Linked DNA regions of Mus musculus: regions 1, 2 and 4 are each reported to be linked to region 3. Evidence: microRNA targets listed by miRTarBase, many of them from high-throughput screens and not tested one by one. Region 3 holds a microRNA gene; each other region holds the end of a gene's coding sequence.
The links. The annotated mature microRNA mmu-miR-105 reads CCAAGUGCUCAGAUGCUUGUGGU and lies in region 3 at 4,782-4,804, shown strand. An mRNA with a match to its seed (bases 2 to 7 or 8) in the 3' UTR can be bound and repressed. Matches are read on the target gene's strand: a 7mer-m8 pairs with bases 2 to 8, a 7mer-A1 pairs with bases 2 to 7 and ends in A, and an 8mer does both.

Region 1 (7,167 bases), not on the chromosome of region 3:
CAGAGTCCCAGCTCAGGTTCTCTCCCACCCCGAGTGCGGTTAAAACCACAAAGGTACAGGAACGAAGAAAATGACTCTTCTCTGAAGACGGGACTGGAGAAAATTCGGAGTGGCAAGCTGGCGCCTAAGCCGCAGTCTCGATGCACCTCCACCCGCTCAGCAGGTGAGGCCCCTTCAGAAAAACCGAGTCCCTCAGAAGGCCCGGAAGAGTCCGCCGGTGAGGTTCAGGACACAAGCAGAGTGCGTGTGCCTGGTGAGCAGGAGGAACTGCGGATGTTGGGCAAAAAGGGCAGCAAAAGCAGTATCTCTGTTTACCTGACCCTAAATCAGGAGACATCTGACTCTTCCAGTGCCTCAGTGTGTAGCATTGATAGCATGGATGATTTGAAATCCTCCAACTCTGAGTGTAGCTCTTCTGAGAGCTTCGTTTTTCCTCCCGGCTGTATGCACGCACCTTCTGCCTCTTCCACTTCTACTTCCTTCTCTTCAAAGGAAGAGAATAGCCTCCGTAATTCTTTGAAAATGAAAATCTTTTCAAAAAATGTCTCTAAATGTATCACACCAGATGGCAGGACCATATGTGTAGGGGACATTGTTTGGGCCAAGATATATGGCTTCCCTTGGTGGCCAGCCCGTATTCTTACCATCACTGTAAGCCGGAAAGATAACGGCCTTTTAGCCCGGCAGGAGGCCCGTATCTCATGGTTTGCATCTCCAACCACATCTTCCCTTGCTCTCTCACAACTCTCCCCCTTTCTAGAAAACTTCCAGTTACGGTTTAATAAGAAGAGAAAGGGTCTGTATCGCAGGGCTATCACAGAGGCTGCTAAGGCTGCTAAGCAGCTGACCCCTGAAGTGCGGGCTTTGTTGACACAATTTGAAACGTGAACATGGACAGTAAGGTAGGCGAGAACCACTGGAGCTGCTGCAGGTCCCTGGCTAGTCAGGAATCATTTCCACCAGCTAGCTTGGCCAAACTGGTGAGAAATTGCACTCAGTTGGCTTTTTATACGTTATATATAGCCATTTTTACACTAAGAAGCTGAAAACTGAAAGATGTTTCAAATTTTCTCTTAAGTAGGATTTTAGGAATATTTTCCAGTTTTAAAATCTAAAACCACCCTAAGGCATAGAAGCCATAGCTTCAAATGAAACAATTTTTGCAGGGACTGTTAATTGCCATTTGTAGCTATTGTTTGTGTGTATATGTATGTCTAGGTATGCACACCTAGACATACATACACACACATCCACATGTATAAACTATTGTCTGTCACCATGTGACATGGGTTGCATATTTGAGATTTTAGTAAGGGCTGGAACTTGGGGAACAGTGGATATTCAATGATTACTTGTTTTATCTAGTGAAAACTTAGACTTTCTATGCACATAGGGTATAAAAGTTTGATATTGGATGTTTGACACACTGAGATGCTTGCTATGACAAATTGGTATGCTTGCTGTTTAGTTATAGACCAGGCTGTACACATTGCCAGTATTTGGGATTAAAACTATTAAGACTAGACAGGTTTGGGTCAGTACTCTCTTGTCCAGTGAGGTTGTAAAACAAACTGTCAGATATTTGGTGGGAAGTTTAGATAGATTTTATTTGGGGTATATAAATAATTGAGTGAAAAGTTAGTCAGATTTCTCCTGACTGGCTGTTCCTAAATTCTTAGGACAGACCCTAGCAATTTACACTTTGTGAATTAATGTCATGTGTAATTGTTGCATTTTGGATGTACCTAATTTGATAGTTTTTCAGAAGCATTTTCCATTTAAGGTAATCTGTTTGCAGGTCAGAAAATGAGAAATGTGATTGTATAATGCATTGAAATGTAAAAAAAAAAAAGCTGTAAATAAAATCAACTAAATCCAAATTATTTGTGTGTGTTTCTCAAAAAGCTTTGAACAGTTTCAAAATAGTAGAAATTTTTCTTTGCAATAGTGGTTAGAAAACATGAGAAATTAAACATTTTTGTTTGCCCTGTCAGGGATGTATTGGAGAATAAATAAAATTCAAATAACAGGAGGTACAGTGAGGCTCTATAGTAATACCATCCGGTAGAACTCTAGTTCCTATCAACTGCTCATGAATGCTTTTCATTTTTTCCCCTCAGTTTTAGCTTTGATAAATTGTCATGCTTTAAAAAATTAGGTAATTGTAGTTGGTTTGCTCTCTGGTCTCCTGCCTCAGATATCACTGCTTTATGGGCTTAGTAATCTAACTCCATATTCTACATGGTCTACCTGTCCCTAAGATGTTATTTTTTAAGAGTCTCGCTATGTCACTTTGGCTGGCCAGGCTGATTTCAAGCTCAGAGCCTTGCCTGCTTCTGCCTCCTGAGTGCCCGCAGAGGCAAGGTGATCTCGAGAATTAAGTTGCTTCCAAGCCTTTTGTTTTCTTAAATTTGATATAGTTTCAGTTAGTACTTACTTGAGATACAAAAAGGTAAACTTTTATGGATTTCTAAAATAATCCAGTGTGAGATATGTTAGTTACTACATAATTAATAATAAAGATAATGAAATTTGGAAATGAACTTCCTTAAGCTTGATACCTGATTATTTCTGGGAAAGAAAATAGAATTTCTTCTGGGGAACTTAGTCAATGCTTTTTGATTTTAATAAACACACAAAGAAAAAGATACATATTCTTTCCTGCAAACAGAAACTAATCTGATTATGACAGTCTGAAAGCTCACAGTGTGATGAAGGGCTTATGAGGGAAATATCCTAGGTTTTCTGAGTAACTGTTTTAGATTAGAGTACTTGTTTGTTTACCTTTTGAAAAACTGATTTATGCGAGAGTCATCTAAAAAGTAATGTGAAGTGTGTGATCTGGGCTGTTGTAGTTGTGACTTTGAAAGTGGGTGTTGCTAATACAGTCAGACACTTTGGCAATGTATCTTTATGGCATAAACCATTTGTCCTATTTCAGAAGCTACATGGGAAAATACAATCTGTGATTGTGGAGTATATAAATAACATTCAGCCAGGAGTGATGGCATGTTCTAGTGATCCTATCATTTGAGAGGTGGATGCAAGAGGGTTGAGTGACTTAGAGATTGACCAGGGCACATAATGAATTCTTGTCCAGAAAATGAACAAAGGAATATTTGGCTCTGTGTGCTGGTACATGCCTTTAGCCCTAGCATGTTCTCTGAGATTGAGGCCGATCTGATCTATGGAATTCTATCTAGACCAGCCAGGGCCACATAGTGAGATACTATTTTTAAAGATATCCCAGTAGAATTTTCCAAGCAAGGTGACCATTTGCTATCTACTGTAACAGAGTTTCCTCTGAGAAGATAAAAGGTACTGTATGTACGATAATAAACCAAATGGACTTTTTTCTTCTTGTTTGGTTTGGTTTCTCTTTTCTGAGAGAATTTACTTAGACAAATTTCCAATATAAGAAAAGTAGCTAAAAGACAAGGATGAGCAAGTGCAGAAAACAAATAAGTTGTCAGGATGGCATCTTTAGAAATTTAAAGCCTCATGTTTCCTTCTTCATTTTGTAGAGCTTAGAAATCAGCAAGTGCACTGGTCTTTTAGAAGAAATCTGTTTTCTATTCTAGTTTATTCCCACAGAACAGAAGACCTGTAAAGGATTCACTATCTAAAGTCAGATTTAATGGTGTGTCCCCAAGTGTTTTGTTTCCAGTATAGCAGTCTAGCCTACCTACAGTTCACCTCAGCTTCTGATCTCTCCACCTCTCATGCAGGGATTCCAACACACCCAGTTTCTATGATGATGAGGACCGAATCCAGGCCTTTTTCACTTTAGCCAGGCATTCTATTAACAGATTTTTTATCTATCCCTGTTTCCTCCTAAGTGGTTTTGATATTTTTTTGTTTGTTTGTTTTCAGTTTTTGTTTTTTGTGTTGTTGTTGTTGCTTTTGTTTTTCGAGACAGGGTTTCTCTGTGTAGCCCTGGCTGTCCTGGAACTCACTCTGTAGACCAGGCTGGCCTGGAACTCAGAAATCCGCCTGCCTCTGCCTCCTGAGTGCTGGGATTAAAGGCGTGCGCCACCACCACCCAGCCTTTTTTCAGTTTTTGGAGCAGGATCTTCCCTTATAGCCCAGGCTGATCTTGAGCTCTTCTGTGCTAGTATTACAGGCTTACACCAACACATACGGCTGGAAACAGAATGTTAATGGTTGCTATTATTGTAGCTTAGTACTACATGCAGCAAGTACTAAGCAGGAATTTTTCTGAAGACATTGTAGGCAGACAACATAGAATTGATACTTAAATCAGCTTAGATCCATCTAGGGTATGGAGTTTATTCAACTAAGAGAGGCTGTTACTTTCTAAAGTTATTGGTTATTGAAGGAAACATATGTTCAGACATTTGGAAAGTGGCCAGTTTTCCTTTATACTGAATGACTGAATTGAGAATCAGAAAATCAGAAATTTATAGTATATGTTTAGTTAGGTCTTTTTTTTTCTCCATTTAAGTTATGAATGTTCTGTAGTTTGGACTGACAGTCTAGTGCCATACTGACATACTAGAAAGCTTGTAATGAAGGTTTTAGTTCAAAGGTTTATGTTCACTGATGGTTTCAAATAGGGAATTGGCCAGTTAGTGATGGTCATTTTCTAAGGAGGGACAAATTCAGTTTTTGCTTTGGGGCTGTGCTAATAGCTATTAACACTTTAATAGAAAAATCTGGAGTTGAGAGCTAAAGCTGGGTTGGAGCCGTTCCATTCCGTGCCAGGAGAGTGAGCGGCCAATCTTTGTTTCTACTTTCCCCTGGTTCTGACTTGAAAGGTGCTGACTGCGCTTCCACGGGGCGTGGACATTTCTGTACTCGGGCCTTCATTTAGCCACGGTTGCACAGTGGTAAATGATTTTATTAGACTTTTTGCAGAGTATCTGGGTTTTATTTTTGCCATGATAATTGATACTAAGTTTAATCTATCCTCCGAAAGGGACACCATTGAGTTTGGCTCTGTGGTGCTGGCTGTTGTAGCACACCCCGCTGTGATATTCAGAAGGGCGTCACTCCTTTACTGTCCCTGTGTCTTCAGTTAAAAACAAACAACATTATCTTTGTCGTAGTAAAGTGAATTGTAACTTTATGAATGCTTAAATAGACATGGCCTAAAATTTAACCATTTTGGGGGCGTATTTGCTTTTTAGAGGATTTTGTTGTATGGGTCAGGCTGGCTGGACATGCAGTAATCCTTCTCTCTCAGCCCCTCAGTATTGGGATCATAGCCATGTGCCACCATAACTAGTTTAAAGCTTTGCCTTTAAAACAAAATAGATAGGGGCTGGAGAAATGGCTCAGTGATTAAGAGCACTGACTGCTCTTCCAGAGGTCTTGAGTTCAATTCCCACCAACCACAAGGTGGCTCACAACCACCTGTAATGGGATCTGATGCCCTCTTCTGGTGTGTCTGAAGACAGCTACAGCGTACTCAGAATCAATCAGTCAATAAATGTTTTTTAAAAAATAGACAGGGTCACACTATCTAGCCTTGATAAGTAGACCAGGCTGGACCTTGCCTACTATCTTAAAATCAATTTTAATTGTACAATTAAAAAAACGTGATGTGTATGTGTGCGTGTGTGTGCGCGTGCTCTCGTGCCCACATGTACAAATGCCTTCAGAGGCTAAAAGATGGGATTAGATTCCCTGAATCTGGCATTGTAGGTCATTGAGAGCCACCTGATGTAGGTGCTACAAATAAGAACAGCAAGCTTTGGGGCTGGCGAAATGGCTCGGTGGTTAAGAGCGCCGACTGCTCTTCTGAAGGTCCCGAGTTCAAATCCCAGCAACCACATGGTGGCTCACAACCATCCGTAACGAAATCTGATGCCCTCTTCTGGAGTGTCTGAAGACAGCTACAGTGTACTTACATATAATAAATAAATAAATATTAAAAAAAAAAACAGCAAGCTTTTGGAACTCTGAGCCATCTCTTCAGCCCCCAGTTGTACATTTTAAAGGTGTTAAGTCTGTTTTAAGTCTGTACTATACCACTGTCTATCTGTAATATGGGTGCTTTGCTTTGCTTTCCTTCCCGCTCCCCCATTGGTTTTATGAAACTAGGTCACTCTAACCCAGTCTGGTTTCTAGCCCAGGACAATCTTGTTTTAGCCTCCCGAATGCTGGGATTACAAAAGTGACTTATAATCAGTGTTTTTAATAGAGTTTTAAATTTGCTGAGAATTGGGGCCACAATGTTTGCTTCCAGGATTCCTTGCTGTGTACCTGCAGTCCTGTATGGAGCATACTCTAGATAACAGCACTAACAGTGTTTTATGCTTAAGGACTACAGCTGCCCAGCCGCCCCTTAGTAAAAGTTTTAGGTGAATTAATTTAACTACATTGAGTACAACAATCTTTCAATGGTAGCAATTGCTTGGATAATTTTTTTGTGAATAAAGGAGACATTTTAATAAGTTTGATAATAATGGAGGCTGGACAGATGGGTCAGCAGATGAAAGTACAAACTGTACTGTACCCAGCATCCACTTCAGCATCAGGCAGCTCACAACAGCCTGTCCAGGGGATTGGACACTGACTTCTGACCTCTGAAGCGTGAGGATTGTAGACCTGCACCACTGTGCCCAGCTCTAAAGGCATAGTGTAAAGACAATCTTCACAATGTTTTGTAAAAATTTTGTAAAAAGGAAGATCAATCAGGAAGGTCAGTGTTGGGTAAATAGGTTTGAGACCAGCTTGGGCTACATGGATCCTCTCTTAAAAAAGAGGGAAACCCTCATAATTTCTATACTGGTATCCATGTCTGCAAGGAAAGGAACGCCAAGTCCTTCATGGCTAAAGTATTAGTGCCACCCTCCCACCCGCTATGCTTGTATGTATAAGTGTGCATGTATGTATAAATATGTTCGAGTTTTGCAGCTGTTTGAGACTAGGTCTCATGTAGCCTAGGCTGGCTTCAAGCTTGACATCCTCTTGTCTCTGCCTCTCTATCTCCTGTCATCTGCGCCTGTAGGCCTGGAGTGTGGCTTTTATGGGTAGGCTTTCTTAGAAAAGAAAAAGCTCATGCTGGGCAGTGGGGGCTCATGATTTTAACCCAGATCTCAGGAAGCAGAGCCAGATGGTTACCCTGCTCTACAGATGGCATTCTAGGATGGCCAGGGACACAGAGGGAGGGGATCAAAATTATAATGCAGAGTAAATTTT
Region 2 (7,167 bases), not on the chromosome of region 3:
TGGGTCCTTGCAGTGGCTTCTTCTCTGCCCTTTGTGATCTATCAAATTCTGACCGACGAGCCCTTCCAAAATGTGTCACTTGCGGCGTTCAAGGACAAGTATGTGTGCTTTGACAAATTCCCATCTGACTCTCACAGGCTGTCTTACACGACTCTCCTCCTGGTGCTGCAGTATTTCGGCCCACTCTGCTTTATATTCATATGCTACTTCAAGGTAAGAAAACCATTGGCCCCTCCCTCAACCGTCTCCCTTCTTACCTCCTTTGTACAGACTTCCCAGGAGGTGCATGTTGTACTTGAATTCACCCTTTCCTTCCTTCATAGATATACATTCGCTTGAAAAGGAGAAACAACATGATGGACAAGATCCGGGACAGTAAGTACAGGTCCAGTGAGACCAAGCGAATCAACATCATGCTGCTCTCCATTGTGGTCGCCTTCGCCGTCTGCTGGCTGCCCCTTACCATCTTCAACACTGTGTTCGACTGGAACCACCAGATCATTGCCACCTGCAACCACAATCTGCTGTTTCTGCTCTGTCACCTCACCGCCATGATCTCCACCTGCGTCAACCCCATCTTTTATGGATTCCTGAACAAAAATTTCCAGAGAGACTTGCAGTTCTTCTTCAACTTTTGTGACTTCCGGTCTCGAGACGATGACTACGAGACCATAGCCATGTCTACCATGCATACGGATGTGTCCAAGACGTCTCTGAAGCAGGCTAGCCCAGTCGCATTTAAAAAAATCAGTATGAATGACAATGAAAAAGTCTGAAGCTGCTCAGAGCATATGGTCCCAGGCCATATCTGTGGAAAAACAAGCACAGCCTGCCGCATGCTTTCTTTACCTATGCTCTGGGGGAACGGAATGAGGCGCGCTTGGAAAGCCCAGGACATCTGTGTTGGGTTTGACTGCTTTTGATGGTTGCCCTGATTACTTAGAAATCTAGATTACTTTGTAATCTATCTCTGGCAACAGTTTTGACTAGATGTCCTGTGTGTGTGTGTGTGTGTGTGTGTGTGTGTGTGTGTGTGTGTGTGTGTGTATGTGTGTGCGCGCGCGCGCGCGCGCACGTGCAAAAGAGAAAGAGAGAGAGAGAAGGAGAGAGACAGACAGACTGCCTGTCTGTCTGTCTGTCTGTCTTTCTTTATGTATGTGTTTGAATTATGCATATGACAAAGAGTTTTACATTGTGTTTGTTGGAGTGAATTTCTCTGAAGTAATGTCATGAGCTCATTTCAAAAGCAGTCACCACCTGATATTCTCAAGATACTGAATTTTCAAGATCAGATGAGATTTCCAAGACCCCGGACTACCTTCGTTCCCTGCTAGGCATCATCTTAGTCTGTCACAAGGGTGACAGTATACAAAAGTCACCTTTTAAAATGTGCCTGAGTCAAAAGAGTGTCTGAAGTCATTTGGCAGCATCTTTTCCTTTTCCTCTCTATTTCTGTAAGGACTCAATTTCTTATACTCCTAATTGAGTCTTGCCTAAGATAAAGATAAGTAAAGAACACCTTTTCAGCTGTGGATATCACCAGGAGTTAGGCCACCCACAAGAATGAAGTGGCAGCTGGGCGTGGTGGCACACACCTTTAATCCCAGCACTTGGGAGGCAGAGGCAGGTGGATTTCTGAGTTTGAGGCCAGCCTGGTCTACAAAGTGAGTTCCAGAACAGCCAGGGCTATACAGAGAAACCCTGTCTCGAAAGACCCCCCCCCCCAAAAAAAAAGAATGAAGTGGCAAAACAGGTCCCTGATTTTAAAATTTTTCTGACAACCAAAGCATTTTAGGGTAATTAGTTTAAAATGTAAACTAGTCTTGCTGCAGATAGGTAAATTGCATCCAAAGGACTTGATAATCGAAAGGTTTTGCATTGTTCATCAGAGTGCTGAGCTCTATCAAGCTTTCTGGCACAAGCATGCGACTCAGAGCATTTCTAACTCATACTGCACAGACGCGTAAGATGCGTTTTCTACACAGCCGTGCCTGCATAGTAACTAGTGTTTAACTCTCACCATTTATCCTTCACTGCAGAGGACACAGGGACAATGTCAATGTATCTACCCTTCAGCTAACAGATGTCTGTACCTAAAACTTTCACGCAGCCTAACTTGTATAAACTGTATACAAGTTCAAGTTCATCCTAACTTGTATAAACTGTATAATGTGTGGAGTTTTATAATCATATACTATTATATCATAGAGTACTGAGTAGCCCTGCCATATTGATATATTTACTTTCATGTATCTTGTAATCATGATTTAGACTCAGAAAAGATACTTTGAAGAACAAGACAGTTTCAATGTATTGTACAAAATGTTGCCTGTGTGTGATTTTAGAAGGGCAGACACTTCTGAATTAAAACTGAGCTTTTTCAGAGGAGTCTGTTCTGTGATTCTCTTGAGCTTCCTTTCTTCCTGTCTCAAGACTTGCCTTCCATGATATGATACCTCCACCATACCCATTACCAACTGGCTAGAGAGTTACTGTCTATTCTGTAACCACTGGGGGCTCGTACACTTTAATTTTCTAGATTTGAGAGCTTGTTAAGGCAGAGACTATGTAATAATGATGGACCCACCGTGTATTTCTCACAGCAACAAGTAATTAAAACATTATTTTACATGTATTCCAGGGGCTGAAGAGATGGCCCAGAAGATAAAAAAACAAAAAACAAAAAACAAAACAAAAACTTGCTGTACAAGCATGTTGCCTAGGGCCGGATCCCTAGTCCCATGTATGTAACTGCTGGGTGGGTGTCATCCTAGTGTTCCAGCGAGGAGGAAACCAAAAGTTCTTGAGGCAAGCTGCTTAGCTCGATTAACTGACTCAGCCTGTGCTGAGTTCAGTGAAGTGAAAAGCAACTGGGAAAGACTCACCATCACGCACAAACACATGGATATCCCTTCATCCAGTACAAAACTGCATCTATACACTCATGAACACACATACACAACACATGTATATGAACACCTAGATCTATATACCTATGGACATAAAATTTCTGAAACAAGTGAATGAATGAAGGCAAAATTTCTCCTTTCCACTGTGTCACCTGGAATTCACATCATGGTGTATTTTGGGATTCTCTTCCCACTGTCCCTCTTTAGCAAGTGAACATTTTCTCTTGTACTGCATTATTTCCACCCCTAAATGAAACAGTAATGACTTTTTAAATTGTAGGATCTTGTACCATCAGCTTTGTGGATGTTAGCATGAAATCACATAACAGCTAAGAACAACCTATAGTTGACCAGAGGGCGGGAGGGAGGCAATTCTAGAGCCAATTTTTAAGATTCATTGAAAAAGATGACCTTTAAAGATCTCGAACCTGGCATTCTTAATACTTGGCATTTTCCTGTTCCCTAGAACTAATTGGAAACTCCCTTTCTCAACATAGGTGCCCTAGATATCATACCTAGATATGGGCAGCGCTCTTAACACACAGCTATTTCTCCATTAGAGAACTTGCTAAGACCATCTCTAGGAACCTTAGACAGTTATATTAATAGACAACTGAACATCAAATTCTTCTGTTTCATCCAAAGATGTAGACGAACTAACAGTTCAGTCTAAGGCCAGGGCCCAGGTGCTAGAGCTGAGGTAGGAACAAATGACCACATTAAAGACAAACAGTGACATTTTACCAGAAACTATTAGAGTCACAGCACAATTAACAGAGCTTCTGTGAACTTCGAGGAATTGATCATCGCTAGAGTTTTTAGACCTCTAATGTGGAAAGCACTGGGTTAAATGTGGAAGTCCTGATTAACATTGTTGCCTCCCCACACAAAAGGAGAGCAAATCTTAAAAGTATAAGTGACAAAGAAATCTAAACCAAGCACAACTCACACAACTAAACTTATTACAAAGCTCTAATTGTAGTTCCATAAAATAACTTTGAAGGATTGAAGTATAGCTCTGTTGGTAAAGTGCTTGCCTGGCATGCATGAAGCCCTGGACTCAGTCTCTAGTACCTCATAAACTAGGTATGGTGGCACAGGCCAGTGATCACAACACTCAGGAGGTGAAGGTGAAGAAGTGGGGTGTCAGAGGTTCAAGGTCATTTTCAGCTTTATAGTGAGTTTGATGGCAGCCTTGTCTTCTTGAGATCTTTTCTTGAAAAAAAAATTACTTTTCTCATCTTCTTGAAGTTCACCTGATAATAACATCGATGATGCCAAAATTTTCAGAAAAGAATAGAATGAAAGAGAAGAGTGGAGAGGTGGCAATGGTAGCTCTATGTGTCTATTATCCCCTATGGAATTAGACAAGTCCACTTTAGAGTATCATTATATTATATACTTTTACTTCCTTTCTTTTCTATTGACTGGATATTCTCATCCCCTATTTTATCTCACATATTCCTAGTGAAGTTTGGCTACATATTATACTTTATTTCCAACTAGACACATTACAATGAAAATACATATCCTCTGTGGCATAAAAGAAGCACCCACTTATTGCTGGTGAGAATACAGACTCGTGCAACCACCAGGTAAATCAGTGTGGTGGTTTGAAGAAGATGGAAATTGATGAACTTCAAGATCAGCTCTACCCTTCTTGGACACTTCTTCCTACCACAGAGACACTTACTCTGCCATGTTCGATGCTGCTCTAGTCATAAAAACTAGAAATTGGAAATAAACATATAGTTTCCTCAACAGGTAAATTCATTTTTAAAATGTGCATTTACACAATAGGATATTGCTAGGCCATTTTAAAAAAGTGGCATCATGAAATTTGCAGAAAAATGAATATAGCTAGAAAAATCATCCTGAGTGAAGCAACCTATACCCAAGAAAGACAAATAATGGTATGTATTTGCTTATATGGGATATTAACTGGGAAGCCAATGATAAGCTACAATTCATAGAACCACAGAGGGCAGGTATAGAGTAAGGGACTAGAGGGAACAGAAAGCCCTCCTTAGAAAAGGGATATAGAAAAGTTAGAGATGGATGGAGGGGGTGGTTGTAGCAGAACAGAAGCATCACATAAGGTAGGGAGGAAGGTGAGGTGAGGGAGCGAATGCAGGGAGAGACAGCTAGAATTAAGGGCATTTGAGTGGCAGTATGGGCAACACCTAAAATAGTACAAGCTTCTTAAATAACATATATAAGGATGCTATCTAAATGAAATGGTCAAATAATGGAGGAGATGAGTGCAAACTGCCCATCTCTTGTCACCAAATGAAGCTTCCGTTACTGGGATAGTGTTATATCTAATTCAGTTGTTGGCTGAAGGGGTACCATGGGAATCCCCAACACCTTGTCCTTATTCTCTTATTGTTACTCTCTTATTCCTGCTTTCTGCTTGCTTCTCTTTTGCCCTCTTATTCCCCTCTCTCCCCATATCCTTTCCCACTCTCTCCACATGGCTATGGCCAGCCTCTACTTCTTTACTCTCTCCCTCTTTCTATGCCTTTCTCTGCCTTTACTACCCTCTTAGGTCCCCTTCCTGACATGACAATAAACACCTTAAAACCAAAAAGGAAGAAGAAAAAAAGAGTTGCCATTGTCATGGTGTCTGTTCACAGCAGTAACACCCTAACCAAGACACCTGCCATCCCAGTTTTGAATCCATACAAACCCCTATCAACAAAAAATGTCTTCTCTATCACTATTATCATTACCTCTCTTGTAGTTCTCCCCTTCTTCATCTTCTTTGTCTTTCTCCTCTTTTTCTCCATCCTTCTTTTCCTTTTTTGTGGTAATGGTGATTGAACCCAAAGCCTCATTCATACTATGCAAACACTTTACCTGTGAGCTCTATCCCTAGTCCTCTTGTGAACAAAAATTTGGAGACAAAATTTTTATTGAGTTACTTTAGGCTGGATTTCAAGTTATAAACCAGAGTAGGCTGGCCTTGAACTTGTAATCTTCCTGCCCCAGCCTCCCAGATAGCTAGGATTGCAGGCTTGTGTCACCAGGCTCAGCTCTTCGACAACCTTGAGTGGTCCCAGAAACATTTTTAAAAGGAAATATCTTTCACAGCTCACGTTCAGTAATGGAGGCAAACTCTTCGCCGTGGCCATTTAGGTGTAGATACAGAATTGAGACATGCATCTGGTCCACACAAGGATGTTACTATAAATGTTGGTCCATTTCCGCTGTTCTCTCATTTTCTCAGATCTCACTTCCTACTTTCCTAGGCAGAGCTTTAGTAATCTTCTGAGAACATTTTCCTGGTGTGCCTCTGGATATTTGAAACTTAATTAGTATTAATCTTCTTCTTCTTTGTGATGTTGGGGATGGGAGAGAATATTATCCCACAAAGTCCTGTATTCTAGCCCAAAGTCTTGAGACTTTACATCTTTGAGTACAGAACAGCAATTGATGCCCAATAGATTCTAGAATCTTGAATCTTACCTAGGAGGGAAAGGAAAAAGGTTATCAGTTAAAACTGGTGACTAAGGATGAATAGTATTTAACTCAAGACAAAAAAAAAAAATCAAACCAACAACTATAGAACCCTGAAACTGTATCTGATTAAATCTTACACCTGGGTTGTCAACCAGCACCCTTATAATATTGTCTACATTTCATTTTTTTAATTAAAAAAATTAATTTATGTGTATGACTCTTTTGTCTACATGTCTGCACACCACGTGTGTGCAGTACCTGAAGAGGCCAGAAGGGGGTGACAGAATCCCCTGGAACTAATGTTACAGAGGATTGTGAACTGTCATTTGGGTGCTGGGAATCAAATTCAAGTACTCTGGAAGAGTAGCCAGTAAGACATGATTCTAGCTTTATTGTCCATGTTTTCTAATGTAAAAGTAAACAAACAAATAAATAAATAAAATAATTATGTGCTATTACAGGTCTGTGTTGTCAATATAATTTTGTAGAAGTTGAGGTCTGGTTCTTCCTCTCAGCCCCATGCTCTCAGAAATAAGATTCAGACTCAAAATATATTTACAAATTCCTTGGCCATATTGCTAGGACTAGATCATAACTAAAATAACCTAATTATTTTAACCTACATTCTGCCACATGTCTGGTCACCATGCCTCCGTCTCCTCCACCTCCCTGGGTGGATCCTCCCACACGGCTGGTTACTGTGCTCAGGTACCATGCCTCTGTCTCCTCACACCTCCCTGGATCTTCTCACTCTTGGCTCTCTCCCAGAATTCTTTCTGCCTCCTGGGTGTTCCAC
Region 3 (7,000 bases):
GCCACATATGTGGCTGGAGCCACGGGTCCCTCCATGTGTACTCTTTGGTTGTGGTCCAGTCCCTGGGACCTACGGGGGGTCTGGCCAGTTGACACTGTGTGTGTGTGTACTCTATGTGAGATACACACACACACATACATACATACATACATACATACATAATACATACATACAGAGAGACAGAGACAGAGAGACAGAGAGGGAGAATATGTGTGTGTGCCTCTCTCTCCCTCTCTCTCTCTCTCTCTCTCTCTCTCTCTCTCTCTCTCTCTCTGTGTGTGTGTGTGTGTGTGTGTGTGTGTGTGTGTGTGTGGTCAATTCTGGGTGTTCTGTTCTGCCACTCTGACTTTTGGAGATTTTTTTTCTGAAATTGGAGCAGCTCCTGATTGGCTAGACAGTCTGGCCAGCAAACTCCGGGGAACAATCTTCTCAACAGATGTGTGCTGCCATGCCCTGCTTCTACCTGAGTGCTCAGAGTCCCAACCCCCATTTTTATAGCTGTGTGACAAGAGCATTGCTGACTATCTCTCTTCAGAACCAGGTTGACCTTTAGAGAACTGTAGTTTGGCTTTGTTAATTTTATAATATGTTCTTGTGTATTACTGATTACTAAAAAAATTAAGAGCTTATGCACATGACATTACTATAAATCAGCATGCTGTGTTATGCTGGCAGCAACCCCAAATGCTTTGTATTACTGTATCTCTTGAATGCATTGCTTTCTGGTGCATAACTATAGTTTAATGCTTATTGATAAGTTCTCATTCTAATACATAATTGTTACTATAGTACAATATGGATGTCAAGTTACTGATCACCTCACAGGTGCTGAAGTTTGTCTTTTGGAACAATACCATTCACTATTGTCTCCAAGGGCTATGAACACAAAATATAATTGCACCCTTATTTGCTCATATTTCTAGAGGCTATAACTGCAAAATGAAAATATTGGCAGGGCTATGCTATTTTTGCAGGTTCTGTGGAAAAATTTAATAGCTTTTGTTAGCTTCAAGAATTTCTTGGCTTGTGGCATCATCACTAGCTCTGTTGAGACATGCTGTTATCTTTTTTGTTGTTGTTCAAATTTCACTCTGTTTTTTATACAGACAGTAGTCACTGGATTTGTGGACCATGCAAACATATTACTGCATTTTCTGTTGATAAAATAGAATAGATGTGATTGAGTTATTTATAAATAAAGGAAGCTTATTTACCTCATAGCTCTAGAGCATGGAAATCCAAGAGAAGATAGTCATAGCTGAAGATAGCCTTAGGCTACATCCAACATGATGGTAAAACAGTAGGGATATAGAAACATGTAAAAGAGAGAAAGCTCTAGGAGCACATTCAGTTTATGACCCAGACCTGCAACACCTATACCACTTCCGTGAGATTGATCCACAATCTAAAGAATAAAAAAAAATAAACTAATCCCATTTAGCTTCTTTTTTTTTCTTCTTTAATATTTTTAATTAGGTATTTTCCTCATTTACATTTCCAATGCTATCCCAAAAGTCCCTCATACCCTCCCTCCCACTCCCTTACCCACCCACCCCCACTTTTTGTCCCTGGTGTTCCCCTGTACTGAGGCATATAAAGTATGCATGACCAATGGGCCTCTCTTTCCACTGATGGCCGACTAGGCCATCTTCTGATACATATGCAGCTAGAGTCAAGAGCTCTGGGGTACTGGTTAGTTCATATTGTTGTTCCACCTATAGAGTTGCAGATCCCTTTAGCTCCTTGGGTACTTTCTCTAGCTCCTCCATTGGGAGCTCTGTGATCGATCCAATAGCTGACCATGAGCATCCACTTCTGTGTTTGCTAGGCCCTGGCATAGCCTCACAAGAGACAGCTATATCAGGTTACTTTCAGCAAAATCTTGCTAGTGTGTGCAATGGTGTCAGCATTTGGAAGCTGATTATGGGATGGATCCCTGGATATGGCAGTCTCTAGATGGTCCATCCTTTTGTCTCTGCTCCAAACTTTGTCTCTGTAACTCCTTCCATGGGTGATTGTTTCCAATTCTAAGAAGAGGCAAAGTGTCTACACTTTGGTCTTCGTTCTTCTTGAGTTTCATGTGTTTAGCAAATTGTATCTTATATCTTGGGTATTCTAAGTTTCTGGGCTAATATCCACTTATCAGTGAGTACATATCATTTGAGTTCTTTTGTGATTGTGTTACCTCACTCAGGATGATGCCCTCTAGGTCCAACCATTTGCCTAGGAACTTCATAAATTCATTCTTTTTAATAGCTGAGTAGTACTCCATTGTGTAAATGTACCACATTTTCTGTATCCATTCCTCTGTTGTGGGGCATCTGGGTTCTTTCCAGCTTCTGGCTATTATAAATAAGGCTGCTATGAACATAGTGGAGCATGTGTCCTTCTTACCGGTTGGAACATCTTCTGGATATATGCCCAGGAGAGGTATTGCAGGATCCTCCGGTAATACTATGTCCAATTTTCTGAGGAATCGCCAGACTGACTTCCAGAGTGGTTGTATAAGCCTGCAATCCCACCAACAATGGAGCTAAAACCATCCAGTGGAAAAAACACAGCATTTTCAAGAAATGGTGCTGGCACAACTGGTGGTTATCATGTAGAAGAATGTGACTTGATCCATTCCTATCTCCTTGTACTAAGGTCAAATCTAAGTGGATCAAGGAACTCCACATAAAACCAGAGACACTGAAACTTATAGAGGAGAAAGTGGGGAAAAGCCTCGAAGATATGGGAACAGGGGAAAAAATTCCTGAATAGAACAGCAATGGCTTGTGCTGTAAGATCGAGAATTGACAAATGGGACCTCATAAAACTGCAAAGCTTCTGTAAGGCAAAAGACACCGTCAATAAGACAAAAAGGCCACCAACAGATTGGGAAAGGATCTTTACCTATAAATCAGATAGGGGACTAATATCCAATATATATAAAGAACTCAAGAAGGTAGACTCCAGAAAATCAAATGACCCCATTAAAAAATGGGGCTCAGTGCTAAACAAAGAATTCTCACCTGAGGGATACCGAATGGCTGAGAAGCACCTGAAAAAATGTTCAGAATCCTTAATCATCAGGGAAACGGTGAGATTCCACCTCACACCAGTCAGAATGGCTAAGATCAAAAATTCAGGTGACAGCAGATGCTGGCGAGGATGTGGAGAAAGAGGAACACTCCTTTCAGCTTCTTAAAAGGCCATGTATTCTAACATTTCACAGTAACTTTCAGATTTCAATATGAGTTTCAGGTGTAAGACATACTCAAATGTTTATAGCATAACTTCATGTTGAGTTTACTACCAGAAGACTCAGTTGCATATGAGATCACAACCACAGGTATTGAGAATGATAACTTCAAAATCTCTTTGGAGAGGACATAATTCAATTCATAACAGCCTCTGTACTTGAAGACATACGCTTTTGTATTGTGGCTTTTAATTTTTTTTAAATTTCATTAAGTTAAGTTTGATTTGTATACACACATACACTCACACACATATAGTCATTTTTTACTTTGTAACTATAAATATATAGTTCCAGAATGCAAATATATATATACATACACACACACACACACACACATACATATTCTTGGGTATAAGTCTTTTACTACATATTTGCAATCCAAATGGAGGTCTAGAAAAGGGCATCAGATTCCCTGGAAATAGAGTTATAACTAATTGTGTTTTAAAGGTATGAATCATAATTAAGAACTCAAGGTTAAGATGTTCATCTGAACATTTAGCACAAGGTTTCATTTTGTACCGTTTACCTCTTCTCTTGACTGAAAACTTTATTTTGTTTGTGGATGTTGAATTGAGCTTATCTTTCTGTCTCGACCCACTACTGTAGTTTATCTGATTGCTTATTATATGTGTACACTATCAACCACTATTGTTATCTGAAGATACATGATGGAAACTACTAACCCATCCTAAGTATAAAAGACAAAAAAATTCATGATTTCCTTCGGAATATAGAATGATTTGCATTAGTATGAATATTAGTTGTAATATTGTGGCCAGTAGATCTTGTACAGGGAAGGATCCCTCAGTTTATGCTGACTGCTCATATACAGTTTCTATTATCAATACTAATAGTTGTTTCTTCATATAATGGGATACCTTTGATTTTTTTTTTACCAGAAACAAGCACAAATCCACATATGCCATGGCCTGATTTCATGTAACTTGATTTGGTTTCATTGTCATCCTCTTGAAGCAGAGGTATCCATTGCTTATATACTTTTCTTATTAGCATACCATGTCTGAGTAATAATCACATCACGGTTTATTTCTGTAATTTGTCGACATGTACTGGTATTACAATTAGTAGCCTGTGTTCTGTAGGTGTACGGCTATATATTAGAAACATATATTCCAAGACTTTTTCTTACATTTTAGTCATCTAAGCATCCTATACTATTCAGTTATTCTCTTAGACCAATGGCATGCATTCATTCTTTTAATAAAGTTGAATGGAGTTTATTATTTTATTATTTTTGGCATCACATGCATTTCATTTTTCATATGTGAACTGAGTCATTATCCAAAATGGTTACATAACTAAAAATTTTCAGTCACGTGTTTGAAGTTGTTATACGATTTGTATACATAATGACAGTCTGTTTTTTTCAGAAATGGAATATTTTGCTCCTTTCATGTTAATCTGTACACTGTGTGCTTTCCTACTAATATGAGTTTCTCTCTCCTTTGTCATTGATGTCTTCGCCTGTAACATGGCATTAACACCTGTTGCAAGATGCTCTGTGTGTGCATTTTAGCCAAGTGCTCAGATGCTTGTGGTGGCTGCTTATGCACCACGAATGCTTGAGCATGTGCTATGGTACCTACTTTTACAACATTGCCATCTGCTTCTGGAACAAAGCCATTCATTACTCTGTTTTTAAACCATGTTCCATGGCTGTCTGTCAGGTGACTCACAGCATATTGTCATTTATTATTGTACTTAAAACGGTGGGCGGTGAAGCCAAAATATTTGTGTTTGAATTTGAAAGTATTGATTGTTAACTGTGGGGTCTTGAATACCTCAAATTGCATTTCTGTTCTTTTATTTCCACAAAATGCCAAAGATGTCTCATAAATCTGTACATATTAATACATGATTGCATTTCCAACACTGAGTAGAATGTTGTGAAGTATATGTGACAACAGTAATGGTGGTGCTGATATGATATTCCTTGATTTCTTGTCATGGGTGCCAGTCTCAGTTCTGCAGCTAATGTACATGTCTTTATGGTAAAACAATGATACTTGCAATAGTGTTTTTTTTTTCTTCCATTTTTTATTAGGTATTTAGCTCATTTACATTTCCAATGCTATACCAAAAGTCCCCCATACCCACCCACCCCCACTCCCCTACCCACCCACTCCCCCTTTTTGGCCCTGGCGTTACCCTGTACTGGGGCATATAAAGTTTGCGTGTCCAATGGGCCTCTCTTTCCAGTGATGGCCGACTAGGCCATCTTTTGATACATATGCAGTTAGAGTCAAGAGCTCCGGGATACTGGTTAGTTCATTATGTTGTTCCGCCTATAGGGTTGCAGATCCCTTTAGCTCCTTGGGTACTTTCTCTAGCTCCTCCATTGGGAGTCCTGTGATCCATCCATTAGCTGACTGTGAGCATCCACTTCTGTGTTTTCTAGGCCCCGGCATAGTCTCACAAGAGACAGCTACATCTGGGTCCTTTCAGCAAAATCTTGCTAGTGTATGCAATGGTGTCAGCGTTTGGATGCTGATTATGGGGTGGATCCCTGGATATGGCAGTCTCTACATGGACCATCCTTTCATCTCAGCTCCAAACTTTGTCTCTGTAACTCCTTCCCAGGGTGTTTTGTTCCCTATTCTAAGGAGGGGCATAGTGTCCACACTTCAGTTTTAAAGACTGTGGCATAAGCTTATGCAATGGAGTGCTGACTCTCTTTGAATCAATGCTATCTGGAGTATTCTATTAATCATAACATGATTATTTTCTGCTCTTCTATAATCATTTTTCCCTAATATACTTGACCATCTACTCTTAAGCTATAGTCAAACTATTTGCTTGTAATGTCTGGAAATACACGTTGGTGCAATGCTTCATCATCAGAGAATTGTATGAATATATGTTGTGTTATTGCCTTTAGCATCATTGCCATGTCTTGGTGGCCTTATGAATGCTACCTTTATTCTCATCTCTTGTTTATCTTGGCATATTCCCGTGTTATTTGTTCCTGTATCACATCTACTTTTGTATTATAGAATCCATATAGGTTTTTACTCATGCACCATGGTTGTCTGAGCACATAACATGCTTGTCTGCTCATACCCTATGGTTCCTGAAGAGGAATCTTAACTGTCTACTGCTCTATAGGAAAACAGTGTTTTATGTATCAGTTTATATTTTTGGTTGCTTTTTCCTAGTACATGGACCTCTGCTCCCTTAACATACTGGTGTTTTTCCTGTACCATCTCTATCTGTTCCAATTCTATGGATGTTAACTTGCCACTAGACTTCCTGTGCATCATAGTCCAGTGCTCAAATAAATCCCATGCACTATGACTGCTTAAGCATGTAACAATAGTTTCTCATGTGTTTTATCAGTATGATCTTCTCCTAGTCTGAAGGGAACCATGATTTACTAATTTCAAAATGATTCCATGTCTACTTGTTATAGCATAATTTTTAACTTATACATATCACAAAACTATATAACTAAGCAGCATGATCAGATGCTCCAGAACAAATGATGTCTATTTGTATATCATAGTCATATGACCATCTGGGCATATTCTGCCAGGTCTCCCTTTACATATGTGATATCAATTCATAGAGTAAAGCTTTTTGTTCCTGTATCATAGCTCATTTATAAGATTTATTTTGTGAGATCCTATCAAATGTACAAACAATTCTCATGGCTTTCATAACCTCTGGATTTCTGTTGGATTTCTCAGGGTGTCTTGACTACATGATCCTGAATAAATGTTCATGTATTGAGGTGTT
Region 4 (7,167 bases), not on the chromosome of region 3:
TTTGGGCATGATGGAAGCTGAGAACATGACTCTGAGCCATGTGGTCAATTCTGTTTCAGAGCACGTGTTCCAGGGAAGACCCTGTACACCATCCTAATGCGACTCTCACGTTTGAAGATTTTGTTTTGAAAATAGATCTCTTAGTCAGACCCAGTGGTACAGAGTGATGCCAGCTATCTAAAGAGACTGAGGCAGGAACACAATAGATTTAAGGCCTTCTTGGGCTATAGAGTAAATTCAAGGCCAGCCTGGACAGCTTCGTGAGACCTTATCAAAAAAGTATATGAAAAGGACAGAATGTAGCTCAGCGGTTGAGTGCCTGCCTAACATATGTATGGCCTTGGATTCAATGTATAGTATAGTATAGAAAAATAGATAATTTATGTATTTTTACAAAGGCTTACAGGTGCTTTACCTGGCTGTAGCATTAGCCACATGCTCAGCCGAGTTTCTTCTTTCATAAAGTTACTGACGACCCTTACCAGAGCTGTGCTTATTATTCCAGATGTGGTTAAATGCATGCATGCTTCTTTTCAGCTGGATGCCAGATCAAGATTCAGAGGGAGAAAAGGATATTGATAACATGCTGAACGCAAGATGAAAGTCACCCAGGATTTTCCATGGTCCTTAACAGAAAGGAACCAAACGGGAAGCACAGCAGCTGCCGCATCTCTTCCACCTCTGGGCCAGGTGTTCCTCCCAAGGACACCAGAGAAAATGGATCAGTGCTGTTTCTGAATGAGTCTGCTGGCTGAAGTCATTTATAGAAGATCCATGGGACTAAACAACTATGGGCTAAGAATGTGTCTGGGGAATTACCTAATGAAGAGATTATGTTCAAGGATGACTCTTCGATCAGATTACACAGTGTGTGAATTCAGGAGGCCATGATGAGATTGGCATAGATAGTGGCTCCTCCAACTCTTTTTTCTGTTTCTTGGTTTCAATTTTAGGCCAACCCCCTCCTCATAAAGGGGTGAAATCAGCCATAGACCACATCCTCAAGATATGGGTGGGCTCCAAAAAGGAGAGCATAGGCTGGCCCACAAGTCACACCCTGCTGAAGGACGCTGCTCCTTCCTGGGTCATATGCTTGGTGATCTTGGCTAGATCCTGGTCGCATGTACTGTGCTGACACCATGCACAATCACATAAGATAAGTTATGGGCCTCATCCCTAAACACTGGAATGCAGCAAATGGACACAACAGATGTTCACTCTAGATAACAAATGTCAATGACATGAAGTGGCTGGAAAAGTTTAGAATCCTTAACATATTATTTTGACCACTTAACACAGTAGAAAGCCATCAGGGCACTAAATCTTCAGTGTGATTCTTGCCATTGAACAGAGTGGCAATTCTATATTGTTCTGTAGTTCACTGGGGCTAAAGCAGTCAAGGACTGGAAGTTCACTTGCTATTTTAAAAGTTTTTGAAGCTATGAGGATTCCCTAGGGTGTCACTGAGGTCTGCTCTATGTACTGCCCCCACTGGGAGTAGGAGGTACTGCACCCTTGTGCTCTGTGTACTGCCCCCACTGGGAGTAGGAGGTACTGCACCCTTGTGCTCTGTGTACTGCCCCCACTGGGAGTGGGAGTATTGCACCCTTCAGTCCTGCCACCTATGTCCCAAGCTTGGTGTCTGTGTGCAGTGTGGAGGAGTGCACATTCTGCATGCTAGGAAGCTCGACCATTGAGCCACACCTTCCACTAGTGCTTCAGTTTCAACAGAGAGTGAAATGTGTTTGTATGAAATGCCTCCATTTGAGTAGATAGAGCTTTATTTGGAAAAAGTCACATGTCTCATAATTGGACTTTGACTTAGACAACCCCATGGAGTTTAGAGTGTTCGTGGAGCATGCTGCAGTCACCACTATCTACTTCCAGAACAGTCTCATCCTTTCCAGAAATGTAACCACTGGTCAGCACTCTGCCCTCTCCCTCTGGTCCAGGTCTATTAGATGAGTGGAACTATGTAGTCCTGTCTTTTCTGAGTCCTGTTACCAAATTCGACAGGTTTATTGGCATGTAGCATCAGTCTGCAGTGTAGTTCTGCTGAGTAGCATCCACAGTAGACAGACACTGTGTATTTCTCCATCGAGCAGATGAGCTCTGAGCTGTTTCTACTTTGGGGCTTTTGACTAATGCTATGAACGTTTCATTTAATACATGCCTTAGAGTTGAACTCCAAGGTCGTATCATGACGGCCTCAATTATATTTTCTACAGTGATTTTACCACATTTCATGCTGTCATGGGATCTAGGCTCCAGCACCCCTGACTTTCACAACTGCTCATATTGCTGACAGCCATTCTGCTTGTGATAAAGAGGCATCTATTGGGATCTTGGTTGCATTTCTCTAGTGTCTAATAACCTGAGCAGTTTTTCGTGTGTTCATTGGCTCTCTATGCTGCCTTTGCAGAGTGTTTTCTAGTCTGCAGTCTGGCTTCCAGTTGGGTTATCTGTTTATTTTCCTATAAGATTTTTTATTTACTGTTGGCTCAAGTCTCTTAAAGATTAATTGGCATTTTTTTCTCAACGTGTTTGTCCTTTTCAATCTCTTGCTACTCTATATAGCACAGTCTTTATTTTTATACATTCCCTTATGTGGCTTAGCCCAGGCTGGCCGGGAATCCCCAAAGCGCGAGCATTTTCAGCGCTGCACTTCCCAGAAAGCACACACCGCTGCTCTTGACTAGAGCAGTTTTCATATTGGAAAATGACAATGTCTTTTTTCTTTCACTCTAAGAAACCATTCCTAACCCAAACTTCCAGAAGCTTATAAATTTTACCTCTTACCTGTAGGCCTGTGCTCTCAAAATTATTTTACACACCTTTATTCATGACCATATTTGAAATTAGTTAAATAGAAATAATACATTTTAGTATGGCTAAGTATGTAGCTCCGTATATATTGTGTTCAGCACATTCACAGTGCAGTACAGTACAGTCTGCCTGCCGCACTGTTCTGCATCCACCTCAGGAAATGCAAGTGTGCCCATCTGAGGACTCCCAGCCACTGCCAGGTCGCCCGCCCTGCCCTGTCCTTGGCATACTCTCTCCTCATGGTAACCACCATTCTCTTTCCTGTTTCTGAATTTGAGTACCCTAAGTGCCTGGTATATGTGGACTCTTTGTTGTGTGCATGCACTTGTGTGTGTGTGTGTGTGTGTGTGTGTGAGAGAGAGAGAGAGAGTGTGTGTGTGTGTGTGTGTGCCTCCAGCGCGGAATACCATGAAGGTTCATATCATATATCGGTTTCCTTCCTTTGTAAGGACAAATGGTATTGTAGTATATGTTGTATGCATATTGTATGTATCTTGTTACCTACTCATCCAGCCGTGGGTACCTCGGTTGTTCCCACCCTGGAGCTCCTGACTATGCTGTGAACGTGTATATACAAATACCCCTAGGACCCGCTTTCAGTCTTAACATACATGTAGCAGATTGTATGTCATAGGGTACTTCTGTTTTTATTAGTAGGCATTGCCATAGTTTCCATATCAGCCACACTATTCTATGTTCTGTCCGCAGTGCACAGAGATTAGAACTGCCTATGTCCTTGTGACTTGTATGCCATTCTAGAAGTCGTTAAGATCCACCAGTGCTTCTGCTTCCTAGTTCCCTGACTGCTGGTGTGTTCTAGATGCTTGGTGGCTTTCTTTATATAGCGTTTGAAGAAATTGTTTTAGGTCTCCTCTGCCCGTTAATAGTTGACTCTGGTTGAATTTTTGGTCATCACATCTACAAAAGCATTGATTCCAAGGGAGCTGACTGTAGCTTGCCCTGGGAATTTTAGTTTTAGTTCTTAGCTTTGCCCTTTGATGCATTTTGAGTTAATCTTTGTGTGTGGTGGAAGCTCTGACTTTCTACTCTCCACATGTGCATATCTAGCTTTGCACAATGCCCTTTGGAGGGAAAACATGGCGCCATGCATGGTGGGGCCGGTTTTGAGCCCAGTCTCTCCTGACTCTGTCTGCCTTCATGCCAACGCCACTGCTTTGATTACTGGAGAATTACTATCAAAATTTGAAATCAGAAAGTGTTTGTTCTAAAATAAAAATTTGAATCTGAAAACATCTTTGTTCTGTTTCAAGATTATTTGGGGTATAACTCTTTGAGAATCTGTATTTCAGGATATACATTTTGTCTATCTCTAAAAACACAAAAGTGCTGTTGGCATTTGAATAGGGACTGCATTAACCTCCTGAGCACCTGGGTGCATTGACATCTGAACGTGATTAACTCCTCAATCAATAAGACACTTACTGGTGTCTAATCACAGCAAAACTGTCAAGTTTTCAGTGTAGTAGATTTTTCTCCTTTTTTTTCTTCTCGAGACAGGGTTTCTCTGTAGCTCTGGCTGTCCTGGAACTCACACTGTAGACCAGGCTGGCCTCGAACTCAGAAATCTGCCTGCCTCTGCCTCTCAAGTGCTGGGATTAAAGGCATGTGCCACCACTGCCCGGCAGATTTTTCTCCTCTTTGATTATTTATTCCTAAGCATCTTGTTCCTTGATGATACACTTTTGTCAGGTTTTTTTTTTTTTTTTTTACATTTGTGGGGGTTAGGGAGATATGCATGCAACTGAACACGTGGAGGAGGTCGGAGGACCGTGGGAATCAGGTCTCAGCACATGGCTTCTGGAGTCAACTCAGGCCTTCGTGCCTGGTAACAAGCACGCCCACCCACTGGTCCATCTCTTTGGCCCACTTTTCTAAATTTCATTTTCAGGTTTTTCTTTTAAGTGTTTGATTTAGATAAGTTTCATTATTAAATATAAACAGTGTAGAGGAAAGGACATAGACTGTTTCCTGTCATCAAATGACAGTCGTGTCACCTTCGTCCTTACTCCCATCATGCCTCATGTTTATAAGATGCTGTGGTGGCTAGTTTATGTCAGCTTGACCCAAGCCAAAGTCATCCGAAGAGAGGTAATCTCAACTGAAAAAAAATGTCTCCATAAGATCCAGCTGTAGGCCATTTTTTAAATTAGTGATTGATGGGGGAGGGCCTAGTCCATTGTGGATAGTGCAGTCCTTGGGCTGGTGGTCCTGAGTTCTATAAGAAAGGCTGAGGAAGCCAAGAGGAGCAAGCCAGTAAGCAGTACCCCTCCATGGCCTCTACATTCCTGTCCTGTTTGAGTTCTTGCCCTGACTGCCTTCAGTGATGAACAGCAATATGAAAGTGTAAGCCAAATAAACCCTTTCCTCCCCAACTTGCTTTTTGGTCATGATGTTTCGTGGCAGCAATAGAAACTCTAAGACAGGATACCTTCTCCCTTGCTCCCAAGGGAGACTTAACTGTGCTTCTGCTGCCACACTGTGCTCCCAAGTTTGTCCTCTCCTTTGACTTGGTGAATCTGTCCTCTTCTGTTGCATCTAAAATAACTGGTGGTTACAAGGAAAGACAGACAACATAGCACGGGCTTTGGAGGGGTTCAATAAACACTACAAATTCACCATTCATCTTTGTTTAGTAAACTGGGGGTGGGGTGGGGTGAACACATGTGTGCATGCAGAGGCCAGAGGGTGTTCTCTCCTTTTACCATGTGGATTCCAGGGTTCAAAGTCTGACTGTAAGGCTTAATGACAAGTGCTCTTACCTGCTGAGCTGTCCTGCCAGCCCCTTATCCAGTAAACTCTGAGTAGTTCCTTTATGGCAAGAACTTCACCTGTCCTTATGAATAATACAAAGGTAAACAGCAAGGCAGACCAAATATGCATGACAGATCCTTTAGAAGAATGTAAATAAGCCTTTTACAAAATACATTCACAAACATCATCAACTATTAAAAATTAAATGATGAAGCCTGGCAGTGGTGGCGCATACCTTTAATCCCAGCACTTGAGAGGCAGAGGCAGGTGGATTTCTGAGTTTGAGGCCAGCCTGGTCTATAGAGTGAGTTCCAGGACAGCCAGGGCTACACAGAGAAACCCTGTCAAAAAAACAAAAAAAGCAAAAAACCAAAAAACCAAAAATGAAATGATGAAACTATTTAAAGGACTTAAGCTTTGAAGGGAGCAGGAATTGGGAGAGGATCGTTCCAGATCGGAGGGACCAGGCTGTAGGGGATAAGGTAAGGCAGGGAGGGAAGATAAAGATCTAAGTGGTCTGATGGCATCTGCTGATAGTTGATCCTAGTTGACTTGTCTGAGTGGCCCCCAGGGTTAGTAAAACGCCACTTCTGAGTGTGTTAGGAGGACACTTTGGATATGACGGATACACAGAGGAACTGCAAAGGCGGGCCAGGAATGTGGGTTGAGGCCCCAGATGGAAAAGAACCAGAGACAGAAAGTCAGACAGTGGCCCAGACTCTAGCAAGTGTCTATTGCTGCTGCACTGCCTGCAAAGATTAGACTCAGACCAGCAACTGCCCAGGGAGCTTACCGTCCTTCAGTGCCATACTCAGACTGTATCATTGGTCTCTCGTTCTGAGGCTTCCAGCTTTGCCACCACCACCATGGGATAGGTTCTCAGCCTCTTCAGAATGTAGGAAGCCACAAGCTTCCAATTGCATAAGACACACACACACACACACACACACACACACACACACACACACACACACATTCCTTTCTGTGGTCCATGGCTGAAGCTTCCCAAAACAAAGACAAGTCTTTATCATGGGCTGCCTGACTTACAAGTTTTCCTCCTCAGAGGATATCATTTAAAGCGAATATTCTGGATGAGAAAGGATGGGATCCTGTGACGTGGTGGAGATGAGCTAAAAGGGGGTCCTGAACTCTCCAAGTGTGATGGTTTGACAGGACTGTCTTTCCGATGCTACAGCAGCACCCAGACCTCTGCCCGAGGATATAATCTACATCACCTGTAGAAACAGTAATGACTTTCCCTGAAGAAGCCGCTGAGAGACATTGTGGCCATCCCACCACACATTTATTTGTACCTGGAGACCTACAGTCTGGTGAGGTACACAGTGTGACCCCGAGGTGACTATACGGAAGAACTTAACTTTCCTAATTCAAAAAGCAGAGTCTGGGCAAATATGTACAGGGATGTAATTTAAAGGCATGGGATAGAAGCAGAACAAAAACTAAGGGCCTGGAGAGATGGCTCAGCCATTAAGAGTACTGACTGCTCTTCCAGAGGTCCTGAGTTCAAATCCCAGCAACCACATGGTGGCTCACAACCATCTGAAATGG

Region 1: the mRNA of Pwwp2a is a reported target of mmu-miR-105. The part of its 3' UTR that is shown has no 7-base or 8-base seed match.
Region 2: the mRNA of Npy1r is a reported target of mmu-miR-105. Seed matches in the 3' UTR shown: 7mer-m8 at 1,607-1,613.
Region 4: miRTarBase lists Coa5 as a target of mmu-miR-105. Seed matches in the 3' UTR shown: 7mer-m8 at 3,148-3,154.

What each region holds. Positions count from the first base shown.
Region 1 is chr11:43,705,315-43,712,481 of GRCm38, forward strand. Pwwp2a (PWWP domain containing 2A) reads left to right here. Exons shown (of 2, transcript NM_027557.1): 2 at 1-1,880. The coding sequence ends at 888. Among named protein-coding and RNA genes, the nearest start is that of Gm34963, 27 kb to the left of the region's middle.
Region 2 is chr8:66,704,413-66,711,579 of GRCm38, forward strand. Npy1r (neuropeptide Y receptor Y1) reads left to right here. Exons shown (of 3, transcript NM_010934.4): 2 at 1-213; 3 at 324-2,386. The coding sequence ends at 776. Among named protein-coding and RNA genes, the nearest start is that of Npy1r, 11 kb to the left of the region's middle.
Region 3 is chrX:72,589,351-72,596,350 of GRCm38, reverse strand. Mir105 (microRNA 105) reads left to right here and starts at 4,772; the gene lies at 4,772-4,851. All of the region lies in intron 1 of Gabra3 (gamma-aminobutyric acid (GABA) A receptor, subunit alpha 3), which reads left to right. It overlaps Mir767 (microRNA 767), which reads left to right and starts at 6,257; the gene lies at 6,257-6,363.
Region 4 is chr1:37,413,998-37,421,164 of GRCm38, reverse strand. Coa5 (cytochrome C oxidase assembly factor 5) reads left to right here. Exons shown (of 3, transcript NM_198006.4): 3 at 538-4,080. The coding sequence ends at 579. Among named protein-coding and RNA genes, the nearest start is that of Coa5, 13 kb to the left of the region's middle.